Drosophila melanogaster: one gene and its partner. The protein of the gene in region 1 interacts with the protein of each later gene in a pairwise test. Each region holds a gene or a part of one and is shown on either strand. Other genes may lie near its edges.

The links. Proteins that work in one complex are often made in the same cells at the same time.
Region 2: the proteins of Prip (region 1) and Gnptab interact in a two-hybrid assay, tested with the Drosophila melanogaster proteins (one large-scale study listed by BioGRID).

What each region holds. Positions count from the first base shown.
Region 1 is NT_033778.4:11,434,551-11,442,272, reverse strand, and holds Prip (prip), read right to left. Parts: upstream 6,031-7,722; 5' UTR 5,851-6,030; intron 2,476-5,850; 5' UTR 2,441-2,475; coding exon 2,405-2,440; intron 2,304-2,404; coding exon 2,148-2,303; intron 2,087-2,147; coding exon 1,943-2,086; intron 1,206-1,942; coding exon 783-1,205; coding exon of another isoform or gene 735-782; exon of another isoform or gene 653-734; intron 624-652; coding exon 570-623; 3' UTR 533-569; coding exon of another isoform or gene 512-532; 3' UTR 401-511; intron 339-400; coding exon of another isoform or gene 303-338; 3' UTR 57-302; downstream 1-56.
Region 2 is NT_033778.4:9,203,872-9,208,898, forward strand, and holds Gnptab (N-acetylglucosamine-1-phosphate transferase subunits alpha and beta), read right to left. Parts: upstream 3,254-5,027; 5' UTR 3,154-3,253; coding exon 3,063-3,153; intron 3,002-3,062; coding exon 1,581-3,001; intron 1,524-1,580; coding exon 1,035-1,523; 3' UTR 539-1,034; downstream 1-538. Other genes in the region: VhaAC45 (vacuolar H[+] ATPase AC45 accessory subunit), read left to right, coding at 3,894-3,979, 4,043-4,145, 4,212-4,473, 4,546-5,027.

The DNA of each region.
Region 1 (7,722 bases):
TATAGTAATATTTTATTTTATATTAAGATACAAAATCGATAAACACCAGTTTGTTTCAGTTAATGTTTTCCACTTTATTGTGAGCGCATGAGAGTACAAGTAATTTTGTTGTAGATTGCATTTTAGGGCAGCTTACACATTAAATATTAGTTAGTTAAAAATGAATTTTGCATGAATAAATACATAAATACACACGAACGTAGAAGAACACGACATGTTTATGTTAGACACTGAAATGAATGGATTAAACACACAGATTTCATCTGTATCCCTAGATTCGAGTCGCAAAGATTTCTTTATATCTAGGCGTAGTCACGGGCTCCCTCCAGTTTGCGCATCTGCAAGTAAATAAATTGCAATAATACAAAATTTAGTTAGCTAATTAAACAGGGATGCAAACCGATCGAAATGGCGGACGGGTTCGGTTGATAGGATTGAAGAGTTTCTAAACCAATCGTATTCGGTTCACAAAAGCGGTTTAGATTAGTTTTGCGTGCAGGTCGTAATATCTTTAGTATACGAATATCTGCTGCTAAAGCGATAAAACATAACACATTTAATAGTTATAGTTAAGCGAGATATGTATATGCCAAATGGTTCGGGTTGTGGTTCGGTTTGCATCCCTGAAATCAAGTAATTCGGGAGTATTTACAATGCAAGTGTGAGTGAGTGTTTGTGTGTGTGATGGGTGTGTGTGTGTGTGTGTGTGTGTAATGGGTGGGCGGAATCACGGATCAGTAGAAGGACTCCTCGCTCCAGGCGCTTATCAACCTGACTCTCACCTCGCGTTCATCGGCGTGCGTTCGGTACTTCTCGGATGCCTCGTTAACCTTTGGCACGGGCTTCGCCTCCAGGACCTGGGTGTAGAGCAGGGCGGCAGCCACGCCCCCCAGCACAGGTCCCACCCAGTATACCCAATGCGACGCCCAGATGTCGGTGGCAAAGGCGGTGCCCACGGTGCGAGCGGGATTCATGCTGGCCCCGGTGTAGCGGATGGTGCCCAAGTGACCCAGGGTCACCGCCATTCCGATGGCCAAGGGCGCCGTGTAGCGGGAATCGGGCTTGTGGGGATCACAGGCCCCAAAGACGACGAGCACCAGCAGGAGTCCCAGGAAGAACTCGATTCCCAGGCCCTGCAGCTCGGTGATATTGGGCGCCAGAGAGGTGTGACCCAGGCCATTGTAATAGTCCTGATCGATGAGAATCTAATGTGTTGGTATAAAAAAAATATTTATATATAGATAGATAGATAGATTAGATTAGATATCTTAATCTTAAAAATAAATATAGCTCTTAGTTTTGTTGAGTATGTAAAAATACTTTAAACTATTAGATTTTAAGTTGATTCATTGAACTGGTGATTTCTACTAAATCATTTGTTTTTTAAAATGTGTAGTTTTTAATACAAAATAAAACCGAAAAATACGAGTATTTAATCAAAGTACTTTCTTGACATTGGCGTACCCGTATCATTTATCCACTCAACGAAAGAAAGTAATGGTCAAAACACAAGGCATTTTTAACCGCAACCGGATGTGAGGCAATCACAATAATAAACTTAATAACATGTATGTACATATGTGTCTCAGTGTGTTATTTTAAGAAAGCGAGATAAGCTCAAAAGCATTGCAAACAATCATCTTACAACGAGTAAGTATTTATATTTATTATTATTTATACATTTTTTTAATTGACTACATTTTGGATTTGATTTTGAAATCTGGCAGTTCTGATTGAGACACTTACAAGCCAAATGACTTTTCTTTGGCAATGCTGTTTTGTAGATATACCATAGAAGTAAAGATAGGTTAGATTTTTTTGTCATAATGACGACCTCTATATAATTGATGATGATGATATAAGAAATAGTGGAATCTGATGAGTATTTTGTTTTAATAATTTCACTCAGATGTATGTAATAATTTATGTGTGTAATGCCTACCTTAACCGCTGCAGTTCCGGCAATTGCACCCAAGCACTGGAAAACCACATAGAAAAAGGCTCTGATCAAGCTAATTCGTCCTGCGACCAACATTCCAGCGGTAACGGCAGGATTCACATGACCACCACTCAAGTGGCCCACAATCTGCAAGGATATATAGTTGAATATGGGTATGAATAATGTCGTAGATTAACGAGCCACCCACCGTGATGGCCATGAAGATAGCCAGGCCAAAAGCCAAGGCCTTGAAGGTGCCATCCTCAATTTGGGTGCATGCGCCGCAGGCAAAGAAATTGAGGATCAAATTGCCAAGGAATTCTCCAATCAAGGCCTGCCACAATCGCAGCTCCTTGGATTTGAGCTAGAAGACAAATTAATAAGTAAAGTAGCATTATTTAATGATATTTTTAATAACTGACTGGTATTTCGATTAAACTTTGTCTTTGTATGATTTGCACTCACCTCATTGAGACCCAGTGAGTATTCGAATTTTCCCATCTTCTTCGCTTCACTTTTCAACTAAAACTGACGGACTGAAAAAAAAGACCAACGGAAATATCAGTGAACGATGTCTGGTAGTTAATGCAAATGGCAATCCAAAATGCAAATGGAAATGTGTTTGAAAATGGAAGTGGACAATTGTCCGACTTCAGCAGGTATTTAGCCACTTTTATCACTCATTTAAGGTGCGATATTGTTTTGGCCTTTGGTGACAGTTTTGACAATCTGCATTTCCGCTGCAATTTCCGTCACGATGCCTAATTGGCCGACACTTCTGTCTGGTCTTCAATTGGAAAAGTCTAGGGGTTTTCATTTAACTCAAGGCTTGTGTCCCAAAAATTCTTAATCTACGTTTATTTATTAAATGCTCAACTTTAGCACTTGTCATTAAAAGTGGGTAACTGGAGGCAGCCAGTGGGTAACTGGGCAATCCTCCTCTCAACTCGACGACTGCCAGCTTATCAGCAATTGCAGCTGCATGTGAGAATATATATAAAACAAACAAAGTGTATAATATTTAATTGGCAACGGGTCATAAAAACGATGTAAATATTTGAGCACAACGCCGTCAGGAGTGAACAGAACTCGCAATTGAGTTTTTAACCGGCAGTTTTTGTAGCCGCGGGGGGATTAGGCCTGGTTTTTTTTTAGAGTGTTCTAGAGTGGCATCAGTGGAAAGCGTTTGCTTTGCTCTTCTTATTTGGCGCAACGCGGTCACGAACAGGCCCAAAAATGGGCTAAGACTTGTTGGCCATGCCCCCACACATCAAGAACATCGAGAGCTTTAAAAATACATACGAGTATGTATGTATAAAATAATTTATATTGCATATATCATTTCATTTGGTAATCAATCAGTGAGCGCTCAATGTTAATTCCCATTTTCTATGCTCGCAAAGCATTCAAGTTGTTCATCACTTCGAGTATTTACTTTTCTAATGCAATCTTAATGAATTTCGTGTTTCATTTGCGTCATCTACGAGCATGAGCCCCATATCGATATCAGCCAATAGACTCAAGTGCTCTGATATGAAAAAGCGAGTTCTATTCCTTAATTGAGGTGCAGGGGGTGCGCTGGATGATCAAATAGTAATTGAGTTGACTTAAGGTTGGGCCCACGGATAAGTGGAATGCCTTGCCATAGAGCGAAAATCTACCCACACAACAATTTCCATTGACTGGAGGTTTGAGGAAAACGGGGTAAAAACCTGAGAGTTTCAATATTTGTCATCGACCGTTAATCATGCATTGTGAAAACGGATTCAACAATTTGAGCATGTAATTATAATCTTTATTAGTTCCTATGAAATGCTTTAATTGGCCAGCTACTAACTGACATTCCGTAGTGCGGATTCACAGGTGCTGATTATCACTTTGGTTGCAGCTAATGAGAATGGTTAAATGGTGTATGTACAACCACAAGGTGTTGGGTCCTCGAATGAAAAATCTAAGCAATTAATCGGCTCTGATTAAAGTTTGCTTTGCGATTATTTCGGGCCGCAATTTATGGATGATAAGCTTGTTTTATAATTGGAAACCCAATATGCCCCTCACCAATTCTGGAATTTTCAATAGCGCGCCAACAAATGTGGCTAATTGCCAGTGTACAAGTGGGTCCGTGCCAATTCGCATAATATCCGAACAATAAAGTAAAAGTTTGCTCAACAAATTAGCACAAACGGCGAGAACAAAATCCACATAATTCACACATATTTTCGCACACACAACAAAGTCGAATGCATTTCAACGCATTTCGTTCTGATTTTCGTCATTCGAGGCATTTTTGTGACTTTCGAAACGTGTATGAACAAGGGGTTCATGAACTTGAACTCTCGCCGAATTGAACCGAGGGGCGGCTAAAAATGTGTTCCAATAAAATTTAATTATATGCAAATATTGAAGAATGTCGTTAAGAAAAATCGCCGCATACGCAGACATTCGTCATTAATTTAAAAACATGCCGATAACACGGGTATAAATCTCCCGTTTCTGAAGCTGATGAGCTAATATCTTTGGCTTTGCTTTCTTGATGTATTTTTATGGACTCTAAAAGCGAGTATACAAATTATCTTGACCACTTTTCAAGTGTTTTCGGTACTATTGCCGTTTTGAGTAGCATTTATTGGCATCAAAGTAATTACCAATATGGCAGTCACATGATCTCTAACTATTTTAGTGTTTTTTGAAAAAGTTAAGGGACAACAATGTAATGCAGACTATTAAAGCTTAGGAACTAGCTGTTAACTTTGCCTGAAATCAGGGAACTGGACTTCATATTCATTGTTTTTGAACTATTGTATCTGGCCTAGCTCCAATTGCGTTCGTCGCCTGATGGCATTTGGCGATATAGACGTTTGCAATTGTTTGCCGCAACTTTGTCACTTAAAAAGCCATAAAACTTACTTAAGCCCTAAATTTGTATGCAACGCCGAACGTGGGAGGGGCAGGAGCGATAAAAGTGGGGGGAAACCACACACACACAGAGGCAATTGCAAAGTTAATAGCCCAAACTCCCACACGTGTTCGGGGCCACAGTGAAGCCAGGCTTCTGATGGACATTCTTCACTTAAATTACCAAATCAGAGACCAGAAAATTGCTGCGGTCAACCCATCAATCACAAGTGTCAGATATGAAGCGAACTGAATGCCCCAAGCTCTGTAAGACCCATTACCATATCATCGGATCATGGCATTGCCGTACCTAAATAACAATTAGCCAATGAACACAATACCAAAACATATAGAAATCTTAAAAGCTTAAACAGATCGCACGACCGCATCGTTTCACGCAACGCTGGTTTCAAAATGAAAAGCACAATGAAATGTCCCAAATGTATGAATTTTCAAATACACATCTTTTGGCAAGAATAACATTTTATATTCGCGGCTTTTAATTACTCAGAATCGTGCTGGCGGTCAAAAGTAAAAATTGTACATAAATTGTTATATTTTTACGATTGACATGCGGGGGCGGTCTCACAAAATTCCAAAAATCATAACAAGAGGAAAACAGATCAAAGTAGATTTGATAAATGGCGAAGTAAGGGGTTAGAAAAAAATGCAAAACGGTATTACAGCATTAGTTTCGGTGCACAGGGAGAAACTTTAGTTACTTTGAATTATACTTGCTTAACTTAAATTATTAAATTTGTCACTATTTAGCTATATAAGCAATTACATTTCATTAGTTTATATTAAACTCAAAAACTAAATATAAATAAATCGATTACAAGCTTATAAATACACCATTAACAGCATAATATTGCAGGATAACTGATTTGATTAGATCTAAACTTAATTAAAAACATTAATAATACACATATGTTGAAATATTCTCTTTTTGATATGCCCATTTAAAGTTTATGTACTTTATGCATTTTCAAGATCACTTTCAATTAGAAGTTTACCTTGTTTTGCTATTAGCTCACTTTGGCACCTTTGCCACCTGCTTACGAACTCGACTTAACGGCAACAACAACAGCTAACACCTTAACTTGCACTTAACAAATATTTAATTCAATTCGGCAGGAATTGTTAGCTCACTCGAGGAGTGATCCGCGCACTTTGACTCGACGACAAAAACTGCGCGACCGCATTTGGCAGCAAAAAGCCAAAGGCACCAAAAACGATGGCGCAGAAAGAGCGCGATTTATAAAGAGAGAGGGGCAGAGAGATAAATTCATGCGAAGAGCGCACATTTATATTAATTAAATTATAAAAAACTAAATAATGTAATTATGCGTATTAACTAAATGTTTATATAAATGTGTAACTAATTATTAAAAACAAATTAGTTTTTATGAGCTTTTATGTTTACATTCTATACGCTTTAATATAAGCTTTATGCGTAAGTATAAGAAAGTTAATCAGAGAACTTATTCGTTTATAGATATATATATCAAATTCTTCATCGATTTAATTTAATTGCACTATCCAAAGTTTTGAAAGGGAATGAATTCGAAATTGTTTAGCTGCGCGGGCGCACCGCTTAAAAACACAACATGCCAGGCACCGAAACTCACCACACCCCACACGCGTCAGCCAAGACACAAACCATGCAAAAATATTAAATTGAAAATTCCGACCAATCAGTAAATTTATGGACTGCAAATAGTTATTTAGGGGTAATATTTACACCCACCCATCATTCACGTCAGACAGTGACGCTTGCAGAAAAGTTTCCGTTGCTTTTCGGTGTTCTTATCAGAGAAATCGGCCCAGAAATCATGTCTTCACAAACAATTTCTTTAATTAATTTAGTGTACTCCAAGCAGAGAATACCGAACTTTTCCATGACATTTTGACGTAAAATCAAATTCACTTTATCTTTATGGGTGTTGTCTTCGAAGTATATTTGCCATTTTAAATTAATAACCGCAAAATCGCAGATCACAAATCCAAGCACACTTTTATGAGGCCCTCATAAATGCGTATAATCACAATTTTATGACTGTGAGCTTGGTGTAAAATAAAGTGTAATCGTATAAGTCAAATATAAGAGTAGAAATGATCGAGATAGTACACCGAAAACAACGTAGGCACACTTTGTATGTATAGTTTGCTTACATTATGGTCTGAAACTGTTCGACCTTTATATATAACATTATTTTTATTATTATAAACTATTTTATTTTATTTTAATTTTATTTTCATTATTATCATAATCATAAAATGGCTAATTATTAGGGTAAATTCGCCAAAAAGTGTGTAATATTTAAAATTATATTGTGTGTAGACGAGTCTGAAAAGGTCATTCCTGGTTTTAAAGTTAATGTCACGTCTTTAGACTAGCGAATTTGGCTTAGATTAAAAATACCACTTAGCTTTATCTTAAGGTTTCCTGATTAGAAACATTATAGTATAGGCTATGTGTACTTCACTATTAGTTATAGATAATAACGGGTTTAATACTGATAACAAGTTAAATAAGAATAAGGCGGTTGAATGCAACACGTGCTGATACGGGTACAAAAATACTAATACACTTCACTCCGAATCGGATTGATAGAAACCTCCTAGTTAATTGTAATGATCATTCGCATTCTAAACTGACAAGCGTTGTAGTTATTTATTTATAGAGTTTCTCTTTTATTCAACATATTATTTTCTTATGTTACATTTCTTAAATCATAGTTACTGAAATTTTATAGCTTAACAAAGAATAGTTAATTATGTAAATTTTCGGATGATTAATTAGTGCGTTTATCGAAAACGACGACATTTTGTGATTCAACTACATGTGCTCAGCCCAGTTTTATCAAAAATATGCCTGGGAGAAA
Region 2 (5,027 bases), 2.2 Mb from region 1:
GGAATAATAAAAAAAACCAAGATGTTCCTCCAAAAAAGAGCAAATCATCATCATATGTACACGACGCTGGGGAGCTATTGCCCAAGCTCGTGCCACGCCCCCCGAAAAGGGGACCAAGGAGACCCGTGTCAGTCTGTCTGGACTCGCTCCAGTTCCGCCCACCGGCTTCCGGGCCGCAAAGTGCGGAGTCTGGGTTTTTTGTGGCCATAATTCCAGAGACGAATCGGCGAACTCGGACGTGGGTAGCCACCCACGGCCGTAATTACTAACCACCCACTGTCCCCTGGCCGCAAGCGTAAAAAACCGGGCGAAAATGTGATGACGTAGTTAGAGTGCTCGAGAGCCACCAGTGAATTGTTCGGCAACGCCCACCGCTCAGCGGGCGGTCAAATTCTGCGGTAATCATCGACGCGCCGGGGAATCTGAAATCCGGAACTGGTGCTAAGTGCTGACAGCAATCTGTAGTTTGGACAGCAGCCAGCCAGTGAACATAATAAAAAAAACTAATTTAATAAATGTTCGCAGTTTCTAGAGCATTGGAAATCAATAGAAATGGTTTATTTTGTTTAGAATGAAGAACATTCACTAGCAAAATGTATAAATATCATTTAAGGCGTACTCCATTATATCAATATGTGTACATTGTGTATGTTCGAGTTACGTATTTTGTAAACAAAATTAAACTAGGTATTTAGAATATTTCAGTTCAGTACTTTTAAGGTGAGCAAATATCATTGTAAAGCCAAACTTAGAAATAGTAATATAGAAACTTAGATATTATGAAACTGAACACAAAACAGGTCGACTGCAAAAGCTGGACCACAAAATATTCTAAAAAATTTCACTACGCATCCATTCTTAATGACTATTTCTAAACGTAGCCTCTAGCATGCACCTAAAGAACTAGAAAAATAGCCTTACACATGGCCTACAACTAGATTTGACTATGATCGCTTGCAGAAATGGCCAATTTACATAAATGTTCACAACATATCACAACATTGCAGAAGGGAGAGAACTTCACGAAATCGATCCTACAAGCGCTGCACACAGCGCCTCACCAGCTTCGCCTTGTGGTGGCACATGAATCGCAGCAGACAGACCACAAGCAGCAGACTCACTCCATATCCAATCACGAGAACCGCCCGCTTTCTTCTCTTCCAGCGCTGAAAGTCCCGCCAGGACTCGAACCGATTACGATATTGCGGCGGCAGCTCGAACTTGCTGCGTCTCGGAAAGAAGGAGAGGTAAAAGTCCTCGAGCAGATGGCGCACCATCTCGTTGTCTTCGCCTCTATTGGCATCCAGATTGTCGTTGATGCAGTTAAACTTGCGCGGATTCCGACGCAATCGGTCCAGTGACTCCACCACCTCCGTGAGATTCGATGTGAGCATCATAAAATTGCTGTGCGAAGTTCTTTTTGGGCTGACATGGAAGTTATATTTGGGTCGGACTGCAAAGTTTGCCGCCAAAGCTTCGGCCAGAAGTGGACATCGGACAACCAAATCCCTGGTTATTGTAGGCTAAAAGAGCAGTCAGCAATTAATATAAATCTGTAAGATATAATCATAAGTACTAACCAAATTAGAGTCCTCGTATCGCTCGTAGACCAGCGTGGAGTGTTCGACTGTGTCCACTTTTAAATGCATGCCCAGATTTCTTGTGCAGTTTTGAACCACCTCCTCGAAGTAGCGCATGGCAGACCAGTCAAGTGGCGGCTGATAGATGCGAGTGAGAAAGGTTCGCACCTCTCGATCCGACCAGGTGGCCGAACCGTCCGTGTCGAACTCATCGAAGATTTCCTCTACACTCATTACTTTGGTTTCGCTCATTAGGAAGGAGTAGTAAGCGAATGCGTACTGCAAATCTGTTGGGGCTCGGAAGCGCTGATGGGCAGTGTCCAGAATTTGCTGGTGAAAACGTCGCTGCATGGCCTCCACAATATCCTTGTCAATTAGGAAGCCCACGTGCGCCAGGACATGGCGTGCCTTAAAGCCATAGGCTCTATTCAGCAACATATTGGTGGCAATCAGCGAGTGAGAGTAAATATCGGTGGAAGACTTAAAATCCTCCTTGCGCAGCCCGTGGCGCTGAGTTGTCTGTGGCTCGGAGCTGGAGGTCTCCAGTTCGGGGTTCAGCGACATGAGTTTGGCCTTGTTAAAACGCTCCACAATGCGACGTAGTTCCTTGAGTGTGGACACATTGCGGTGCCGCATAACATCCTTAAAATTGGCAGAGCTGCGCCTGAACAGCTTTTGGAGACCCATCTGAGGAAATCGGTGGACTCTTGATTGTGGAACAGCGGCAGGCTGCACCTCGAGCACTTCTTTGCTTGGTGGAATGACGTGGGCATCGCTCGCTGGCCCAGTTTCACTGCAGTCGCCTCCATCAAATTGGCACGCATCAATGTTGCAGTGCCGATCGCAAGCTCCATCACCTATGTACGTCCAGGGGCAATCCAAGGCGCAGCCGGGCACCATCCATGCCTGGTACACGCGAACTCCCTCCGCTTCAGTGTACAAGTCCTCCGGATACAGCGGAGCTCCCAGGAATATGTCGTCGTTGAGGTAGAGGAACCTCTTGGACAGCTTTGGTATGCGGTGCAGAAATGTCTCGATGGCCGAGCTGGAGAAGGTGGGCAGCTGGTCGGGATCGGGAGCCAGGACTTCGTGGGGCACCACCGTGACCCTTTCGTAGCTGAGATCCAGCCAACTTGGAATCTGGCCATTGGTTACTATGTACACATGCCTGATCCATGCGGCGTGTTTTTCCAGGGACCTCAGAGAGTACCGCAGCTCATTCTTGTCATCGAACCGCGAGGGATCGTACTTGTCATCGAATCGCCGGATGTCCTCAATAAAGTTGGGATCCGAGCCATTGACCCACGTGTAAACCGCATCGATGGCAGTGCAGGCGCTGCTGAAGCCGCCGGTTTGGCCCTCCTCCGATGCGGACAGATAGTTGGCAACTACCCAGATAGCCAGGCAGAGTCCTCCAGTCACTAAAATTGAAAAAAAAAGAACATTAGTTAAGTAATGGGGCTGGTGAGCAAGGTAACTCACTCGTGAGCGCCAGCAGCTTCCGGCGGGACTGGAGACGCAGTTGTTCCATGGCACGCCGCATCCTTCGCGGCCAACGGCGGCGTAATCGCATTCTCAGGTCCTCAAATGGCACATTTCACACACAATTCCCGCAGTAAAATCATAACAAACATTGTTTTCCTGCGGGACAGTGTGGCCGTGCTAGAACTGCGTAAAATTACTAACTGGAAAGACTGAAATAAAAACTCGGTTCAAATCGAGCTTATAAAAGCAATCAGTATAAAACCCGAATTTCTTTAGATATTTAATTAAACTATTAGTAAGCAGTGCGAAATAGAACATACGGGTTTTAAAGAATCAACATGTGGAATTAACGGAACCGGTTCCGTTGACAGTTTCCAGCTGGAAAGGTGTGTGACTGCGCTAATTGGACACCGAAGATATGAACCTTATTTGACAAACTATACTTTCTTATAAGTATTAATTTTGAAAAGAAACCCAGTTAATGTCAGTTCCTGGTGCAAATATCCAATTAGGCTTTACTAAATGCTCTCAGAGTCGAATAATTTTTTTCTAGTATTTTCCTAATCTCACGCTTTTGGTATTTTTAGACAGCACTGCGGTCAGCTGGTGCGCATCACATGACCGTCATAAGGTTTTTTTTCTCACTGGAATAGGCGACGTCGAGCAAGGCAAAGCGAAAATTTTCACCACCATTTTTCGTTTGTAGTTTCAGTTCACTTTTCGGTTGGTTTTTAGTGCCTCTTGCGTTCTCCTTGGTTCCTTACTTATGCATTTTTCGTTCTCCTTTGTTTCCATTAAACCCCCACCGAAGTAAGCGAATCCAGCGCGATGTTGTGGAAATCGCTGATTGCGTTGTGCGTCATTGGGGCTGCCGTGGCGGAGCAAACGCCCGTCTTTTTGTGGGGAGCCAACAGGTGGGTGAGCGCCTGCACCAGTTGAATGTGAGTGTAACGAGTGCCTTCCTCCTTTTTTCACAGTGTGGCGAAACCCTCCCTGAAGACGGTGTCCCAAGTGGAGTTTGCCGAGCAGTTGGCTGCATTGCTGGAAGATCACATGGTCGTGGCCTTCGAGGAAAATGGCGTAAGTGCTTGAGAACCCACTTAGATAGCTAGGGCTTGTGACACATGTGTTTGTTCCCCAACTCAGCTGAGCAGCAAGGACTTCCTGTGCTCCAACTCCCAGGCGCAGTCCTGCTACGCCCAGCTGCAGGGAGTGAGCCCCAAGACCTACTACACCAGCGTGGAGAACCCCTCGGAGGCACTGCGCTCAGTGGCCGCCAAGCGCGAGCACAACTCCATCGATGCCAGTGGAAAGCTGACCACGCCGGCCAAGTGTGCCGTAGGTACGGCCCTGTTTGTGACCTTCGAGGACGCCGCCGAGAGCCGGGAGGCCAGTCTGGAGTCACATGGTGGGTCAACAATAACGTACTACAAAGGCGTCAATAAGACACACTAATTTAACAATGATTTAACACATTTAGACGCCGCCATAGCTGCTATCAGCAAGCAGTTCGAGTGCAAGGTGGCTTATCTGTACCTGGCCGCCCCCTCCACGGCTCCTGTGGTGCAGCGTCGTACCCGCCGTGACACCGCCGCCACAACCGGTGGCATCATGTGGAAGTCGACCAATCAGTTTCAGATCTTCTACACTGCCCTGCTCTACAACGGCAACCCCATCACCGTCACCGACCTCAAGCTCACCAACTCTAGCTCTACCAAGCTATCCGTTGTTATGGACACATCTGTCGCCGACAAGCCAATCACCTTTGACGTTGTTTATAATGGCGGATACTTTAGTCTGAGCAATTTGGTCTACGACAACAACAACTTCCGCTCCAGCGGCGTGAATGCCCCAACCACGTTCTCTTACTCGTGCGGCAACCTCACCCTCGAGTCCGCGGCCGTCAACAACATGTACAACACCCTGAGCTTCAAGTCCCTGCAGCTGCAGGCTCCCTTCGAT